2 linked regions of the Elephas maximus indicus genome follow. The protein of the gene in region 1 purifies or fractionates together with the protein of each later gene. This does not show direct contact. Links are inferred from orthologs where the notes say so. Each region holds a gene or a part of one and is shown on either strand. Other genes may lie near its edges. The genes, in order: PPP1R7 and SH2D4A.

Region 1 (3,904 bases):
CTAAGGGACAAGCGCACCCCTTAAGGCCAGGCGGAAAGCTGGGGCGCCGGGGTGGCACCCCGACGAGCGGCCGCCCTGACGCGCCCCGAGGACCCCCGGCCGCGGGGGGCGCGCAAACGGCCGCCAACCGAGGCCCGCGCTCCCGGCCGCGGGCTGGGGGTCCGGCTCGTCGCGGGGCAGCAGCGAGGGCTCCTCGCGCCTCGAGCCCCTCGGCCGGCGCTTCCGAGCAGGCCCCGACCCGGCCCGGAAGGCTGGCCGCCTCAGCCCGCTCCGCACCGCGCGGCGGCCCGCGTCCGGCCCACCGGCTAATCGGCGACGGCCTCGCGCCGATCGACAGGCCGCGCGGGCCAATCACTGCTGCCGGTGGGCGGGACTCAGCGCGAAGCCCGCGCTGACGGTTGCTAAGGGACGCGCCGGACGCCCGCTACGGCACCCCGGAGAGGCCAAAACGGGCGCAGCGCGTCCGGCAGCCCGGCCGGCGCCGCCGTCTCCCGCGGCCTCCGGGTGCCCAAGGCTGAGCGGCGTCTCGTCCCCTCGGAGACGTCGACCCGAAGACCGGGCGCGGGGGCGGCTCCCTCCTCGGCCGGGGAGCGCAGCGGAGCGTCTGCCGCGTACGCCCTCTCGACCGCAGAGCGGGCGCGCCCGAGAGGAGACCAAGTGGGGTGTGGACGGCGGCCTGGGGTCGGCCTGCCTGCCTGACCGGCTCCTCCGCACCTGCACACCTACCCACCTGCCCGGCGCCTTAACGAGCGGCGACCCCTTCGCACGCGCTCCAGACGCCCAGAGAAAGTTGTCTTCCTGCCGCTCGGCCCATTTTACAGATGCGGCCAACGAGGGTCGCAGCAGCCGGGGTCCGCACTGCGCAGTGCGAGCCCACGAGGAGCTGCGCTCGGCCTGAGCCGTGGCCCCTCTGCACCTCGGTGGTCGGGACGGGGACATGAGCCCGGAGCCTGGAGCCCGTGCCAGAGTCTCCTCTCCAAACTGCCCAGACGCCCTCTCCGTTCGCCGCCCGCCACGGCTCCCCTCCGCCCGCTCCTCGCCTTCCGGCGCGGCCAGCTCCAGTTACCTGCCCCGGGGAACCCGAGGCTGGCGGCGCCCGGCCGTGGGCGGGCTCAGCCTCTTGCCGGAACCACAACTCCCATGGAGCGCCGGTGCCGAGAGCGGACTCGGCCTTTCGGAGGAACTACAACTTCCAGGAGGCGCCAGGGCTGCGCAGGCGCGTCGGGGCGCAAGCCGTGGCGCCGGGCTCCCATTGGCTGGGCGCCCTCTGCGCTGGGAGCCCTGATTGGCTGAGGGCTCTGAGGCGACAGATTCCGGAACGGGGAAGAGCAGCCAACATGGCGGCGGAACGCGGCTCGGGGCAGCAACAGTCGCAGGAGATGATGGAGGGTGAGTGGCCTCAGCGGGCGGGAGGCAGCAGCGGGCCGGCGTTGCCCCTCACCTGGGAGAAACTCGGCGTCTCATCTCCGGCCGCGGCCGCGGGGCCCCTGACAGCTGCCGGCAGGCTCGGCGGAGCGGGTGGACTCCGGCCCCGGGAGAGTCCCGTCCCGGGGGCGGCAGCGCGGGGCAGGCCCGCGGGAGAGCGGCGGCGAGAGCTCGGGGCCGGCGGGTGGGGACGGAGCAGGACGCGGTGGTTCACTGACCGGTCGAAGGTTGACAGGCGGAGAGCGGTCCGCGTTTGCTAGCGGGGAAACCGAGGCTCGGGGCTGTGTGACCTGCCAGAGTCTGCCCCTTGTTAACGGGATGGGGGGAGAAGGGTCCCCTCTGGCAAGCGACTGAATTGTGGCGAAGGGATGACAAGGAGCCGAGGAGTCGGAAGATTGAGTTTTAGAAGGCGGTGTCAGTTCTCAAGGCTTTCCTAGTTCCGAAAAAACTAAATTCAACTTCTTTTCTCCCCTTTCATTTTGATAGAAAACATTGTTTTTGTATACACACGTATACAGACGCACAATCGGGGAGTCAGTCATGTCTTTGCTTGCATGCTTTTGGCTTTGGTAGGTTGTGGGGTAGGAGAAGAAAGATCATTTCGGCAAAGGAAACCACACAGCCAAAGACAAAGGGGTGTAAAAGAACGTGACCTGTTTGGAGGAGAGTGTGACTTGGGGTGACGGTCATATGTGAGGAGTGGCAGGTGGTGCCAGGGAGGGACTTAAACCCCATTTCCGTCAGGTCGATTCCAACTCCTGTGAGGACAGAGTAGAACCGCCCCATGGAGTAAATCTTCAGGGAAGCAGACTGCCACATTTTTCTCTTGTTTAGCAGCTGGTGGGTTTGAACCACCAACCTTTCAGTTAGCAGCCAAACACTTTAACCACTGCACCACCAGGGGTCCTTTGGAGGGCACATGCTTTATTCATGAATTCAAAAACATTTATGTGCCAGCCTTTGGAAGCTTTGAGGCACTGTCCTGTGTCCACTGGCATCAGCATCAGTGACCGTCCACAGGCTTCTCAGTCTCTTAGCTGCGTTCTTCCTTTCCACCAGCGCTCTTGCCTGCCCATAGTCTGATTTGAGGCAGTCTTGATTGCTTTCAGAATTTGGACCTGTGAACTGGGCCACCTTGCTTTGCTGGGGCCACACAAATAGGGAACCAGATGGAGGCTGTACAGGGTCCACAAGGGTCTCCTCTGCAGCAGGCATCCAAGCCCAAAGCTGGAGGTGCACAAGGTGCCCTGCTTTGTTACCATGGGTACTCACTTTAGTGTCTCTGGCCCCTACCCTCAGCTTGCCCTGCCACTGGACATGGGGCTGGGACATGGACATGGAAGACACTCATGCTCATAGTCCGAGACTGAGCAGACTGTCTGCAGAAAGTCCCTTTGCTCGAGGACCAGGTGTGAGTCTGTCCTGTGTCACTCAGATTTTCAAGTGAAGTGGGCATGATTTCTCACTGTGTATGTGGCTTCAGTCGACAGGCGGGTCGAATCCGAGGAGTCAGGGGATGAGGAAGGGAAGAAGCAGAGCAGTGGCATCGTGGCTGACCTGAGCGCTCAGAGCCTGAAGGACAAAGAGGAGCGCAGCGAAGAGGACCCAGGAGGTACCGGGCAGGCAATGGCTGAGCTCGCCAAGGGGGGTCGGGAGGTTTGTGACCCTGGGTGAAGAGGACCCGAAGGTAATGGGTGGGCGACAGCTGAGCTTGCTGAGGGGGTCAGGGGAGGTGTGTGACCCTAGCTGAACAATACCTGAAGGTAACGGGCAGGCGACGGCTGAGCTTGCTGATGGGAGGTGTGTGACCATGGGTGAAGAGGGCCCAAAGATACTGGGTGGAGTGGCTGATCTCGCTGACGTGGCTGAAGGGTGTGTGACCCTGGGGAGGGCCACCATGCACCAGGACTGGAGATGTGGTTCCCAGGCAGCATAGAGAGCAGGTCCACGTGCCCTGAGCAAGCCCACTCCCTGAGGGCATCTGCCAGTGGGGATGGAGGCAAACCACTGCAGTGGAGATCTCAGTGCTGGTGTCTCATCAGGCAGAGCCAGACATAGTTTTATTAGGCAGACATTCAGAAAGTGAGGCTTGAAGTAAGCACTACAGCTGACGGCTGTGCTTTGAAGTTCTGTCATTGTGAAGTAAACTATTTTCAGAAGAGCAGTTTAGCATCTCTGAGAACTTATATGAGTCCTGCCTCCCCGTTTCTGTAGGCCTGAGGATCGACTCTGCGTTGCCTAGCTATTAGGAAGATCAGTTTATGTGGAAAATGCCCCAGTAGCCTCCTGTTGTTTGTGATTGACAGCAACAGAAGAAATGTAGAGATAAGTCCTCAGTCCATGACGGTGGTTCTCAGCCCTCCCAGCTGCAGCCCAAACCTTGTTTTTTGTCATTTGCTTGAAAAACCAGTATACGCTGAGCAGAGTAAGAGAAGCCACACGATACAGAAAGATGTCCAGGATCTGATATTAGTTGAAA
Region 2 (3,904 bases), on another chromosome or scaffold:
AGTTCTACTCTGTTCTATACGGTCACTTTGAGTTGGAATCAACTCGATGGCAATGAGTTTGGTTTTTGGTAGTGTGTAATAAAGGAGCCCTGGTGGTACAGTGGTTAAGTACTTGGTTGCTAACCGAAAGGTTGGCAGTTCAAACCCACTAGCCTCTCCTCAGAAGAAAGATGTGGCAGTCTGCTTCTGTAAAGATTACAGCCTTGGAAACTCTATGGGCAGTTCTACACTGTCCTGTAGGGTTGCTATGAGTTGGAATCGACTCCATGGCAACGGGTTTGGTTTTTTTTTTTTTCGGTTTAGTGTGGAATAATATGATTTAACATGCTTGAACACTTATCACTTGCCAGGATCTGTTGTAAGCTCTTTACATGTATTATTGCTGTCACAGCAATTCAATACAATAGGTGCTGCTATTATCCCAATGGGTAAACTGAGGTAAAATTGGTAGCAAAGGGAGACAGTTATTATAAAGAGAGACTTGTCAGGCCATGGAGAAAAACTTAGTGTGGAGGAAGGTAATTGGTTTTAACCAGTGTCCTACTGTCTGATAAACCACCCTTTAAAAAACTTCAAAATCCTTAAGTTTTAGGATTCATTTTGAGCTGGCCACATCAGCTAAGCATTGGCAAATCACACTCCAGCCTAAAGCCCCCCCCCCCGCCCCCCGCCAGGGCATTTATTTAATAAGCAGTGGGAACAGAACCAAATCAGGCCAGAAATTCTCCCCAAATAGGATTCCTAGAATGGGCTCCTAAACAGCTGGGTCATGTTTTCCATACAATACCCAGGATTTGCTCTCTGCCCATCTGCCCCTGCCCAAGACTCTAACTTTGAGAATCTTCTTCAGTCCGGAGACACTAGAAATGAGAAACAGTTTTATTTTTGAACCAGGCAAGCCTGGCTCCTGAATGTATCAGGTAGGCTGTGCAGGGGAGGAGAAACTGAGTGTTCACTGTTTATCTCTTCCCAACACACCTGCAATTAGGGTTCATCAAAGCAGGCGGTTTTTCTCCACACACTTTGAATGTTCCTGTGCCATGCCAAAATGCCCTATAATCTTTCCACTGTGCTTCTGCTGAACTTCCCTCCAAAATTCCCTTTTCCAGTCGTCTGTCAGCTCCTCCCTAGTGTCCTCACGCACCACCCTGACCTGTTCTTGCTGCATTCACAAGATTCCTTTACTTCCTTTCCTTTTCTCCAGTTTGCTTTCATTTCGTCTCCATTTCTCTCTTTTTCAGGCTCCATCCTCCCAGCTTTTCTGTTTTGGGAGCCTGTTCTACAAAGCCATACCTGTACTTACTTACAAGTGCCTGAGAGTTTGGTAATTTACTTACTGTCAACAAAACAAAGGAAGAAAGAAAGGAAAAAAAGCTCCATAGACGCAAGAACAGAACCCGGGAGGGTGAGCCAACTTGGCCTGCGGGACCCGGTCAGTGTAACTGAGAAGGGCCTATTGGGCCTCTGCAGACTCCTCCTTGCAAGAAACCCTGAACTTCGGAGTGAAGAAGAGGCTGGACCTGCTGATATTAATAAGTTCTGCAGGACCGGAGAGATGGCGTGGCAAGCCATCACAGACTACACACGACACCTCCAATTAACTGGGAGTGGAAGTGTGAAGGGACCCCACAGCAGGTAGGGGTCAGCGCGCAGGACAAGCCCTGCCTGGGATGCAGTAGGCAGCCAAGTCTCGCTGACAGCTTCCACTGGAGCCTCTCCTGGCGCACGGGTGGGGCCCCAAGTGCCCAGTCAGTCAGCCGGGCATGTGGGCCGCGGGTGGGGCAGCGCGGGCGGGCCAGGGCTGAGGGACGCTGTTTGCCAACATCACCGCCTGAGTGTTTGTCCAGCCAGTCTGTAAAGCTCGCGGGCGCCTTTGCTTTTCCCTGCCTCCCTTCCCGACAACTTCTGGAGGCCCAACTAGACGTGGCAGGTGCTGGGGTCCTCCTGCCCACGCGATCCCAGTGCCCTGAACAGGTAGATGCTGGGGGGGGGGGGGAGCAGACCAGAAAGGGGAGGCCTGGGAGAAGTGTGTGTGCGTGTGCGTGTGCGTGTGTCCGGAGTGTTCTCGAGCCAGACAGTGAAGGCCCGGGGACCGAGGGGAGGTGGGGCTGTGAGCGGAGGAAGGTCGGGGCGAGGCCTCGGTCCCGGCCGCGCGCCCTCCTCCTCCGCCCCCTTCCGTCCCGCCCCGGGCGCGCTCAGGTGTAGGGCCGAGCGGCTAGCGCAGCGGCGGCGGCTGGTGGACGGTGTCAGATGTCAGGTGTCGGGTGTCCGAAGCCGCCGGCTGGGTGAGCAGCGGCCCCGGAGGGCCGGGGGCTTGTGGTTCTAGGGGTGAAGCTAGAGGGGGAGGCCTTCGGGGAAGTTCTGGGGATCCCGGCGGGTGATACGTGTATTCGAGGGGTGTGTGAGCACACAACGCATGATTACGCACCGGGCGCAGGCGGGGCGCCTCGGGGTGGCCGGCGTGGGAGGATCTGGCGCTCCCTAGCTTTTGGACTCCAGCAGTAGAACGGTGCTGGGGAGCCACGTCTCTCTCGCTCTTCGCTCTGGTTCTGGGTCACCCGTCCACCTTATGACGTCCACCGCCACATTTGTGCGAACAAACACCCCGCGTCTATAGCACCATATTGACTTTCTCCTCGAGGAGATTTCTTGAGGGCTGGGAAAACTGTTTCTGCCGGCGCCCTACTCGGCAGTGGTTCCCGGGCGCGGCCACGTGGGATCGGTGCGCGCCACCTCCCTGGCCTAGGTGGGCCACAGGCTGCCGGCTTGGAAGGCAGAGCCAGGCACGGTGCCAGTGTGCTCCGGGTGGCCTTCCTCAAACAGGTGGGCACCCCTGCCCGCTCCAGCCGCGCTCCTTTCCTCGGGGTCCACGCACAAGTCTGAATAGAGGTGGGAGGGGAATTGGGAGACGCAGTGAGAAACCACGGTTTGTAGGTTTTCTGCTCGGCGTTGTGTCTCCTTGATCAAGGGTCTCGAGGCGGAAGCAACCCTTGCACCTGTCTCTAAACTTAGATTCTCCTCACCTCATAAAAGCCTGTTACAATTATTGGATACAAGTATTTTAAAAGTGAATAAGTATGTGGAAGGCATAATGTGGCCATAGATTTGTCATGAGTGGAATTCTCTAGGTAAACCCTTGTGTTGCAGTAAATTCAAATTTCCGAAGGCTGATATATGCTTATAAAACAACTTCCCAAATTGCTGTCCTCTCTGGTAATTCATTTTGTCCTCAAAAGCAGCCCCTTTACAGATTGAACAAGATAAGGGAATTTTGAAAATGGAAGTGGCTATTTTCAAAGAATTAGAAGTTAAAGCTCTATTATAACGTTAAAATTGTATTGCTCATACCACAATATTTTTATAATTTAGGCTGTTTCAGCCTTTTGGGGGGGAATCTTTGAGGGGTTCAGCGGCTGTGGCAGATGGGAGAATCAGATGAAATCTATGGACTTTATGGAAGACTGAATTGATCCTATGACTCTTTGGAAATTGGTTTTTGAAATGCATAGTAGGTGTGAGCTTATTGCTTATCTTTTCTGTCTTTTAGGACAAGTGCTGTACAAGAAAAAAACCAAGTTAGTTGAACTTTTTATTAGTCTTGAATAACTAGGAGTTGTTTGAATCATATCAGGGAATGAAAGTGGGAAAAACCCTGGTTAGTTAATTTCCTCATTTTTATTTCCTCTACCTTGGCTCCACTTGTGTCCATGGCGTCATACTAGATTATATCACATGTGGTTGTTGTTGGGTGCCACTCAGTCCATTCCGACTCATAGCGACCCTGTGTATAACAAAATGAAACACTGCCTGGCTCTAAGCCATTCTCACAATCCTTGTTATGCTTGAGCCCATTGTGGCAACCACTGTATCAGTCCATCTCATTGAGTGTCTTCCTCTATTTCAC

What was found.
Region 2: the proteins of PPP1R7 (region 1) and SH2D4A purify together in Homo sapiens (affinity purification with mass spectrometry; 3 studies listed by BioGRID and IntAct, counting the BioPlex papers as one, with this or other methods). This does not show direct contact. The link is inferred for Elephas maximus indicus from reciprocal best matches to the Homo sapiens genes PPP1R7 and SH2D4A.

Annotation. Positions count from the first base shown.
Region 1 is NC_064824.1:143,066,700-143,070,603, forward strand, and holds the start of PPP1R7 (protein phosphatase 1 regulatory subunit 7), read left to right. Parts: upstream 1-1,252; 5' UTR 1,253-1,337; coding exon 1,338-1,389; intron 1,390-2,908; coding exon 2,909-3,037; intron 3,038-3,904. UniProt on the Homo sapiens protein: Regulatory subunit of protein phosphatase 1.
Region 2 is NC_064840.1:56,716,391-56,720,294, forward strand, and holds the start of SH2D4A (SH2 domain-containing protein 4A), read left to right. Parts: upstream 1-1,214; 5' UTR 1,215-1,635; intron 1,636-1,805; exon of another isoform or gene 1,806-1,974; intron 1,975-2,198; exon of another isoform or gene 2,199-2,285; intron 2,286-3,904. UniProt on the Homo sapiens protein: Inhibits estrogen-induced cell proliferation by competing with PLCG for binding to ESR1, blocking the effect of estrogen on PLCG and repressing estrogen-induced proliferation. May play a role in T-cell development and function.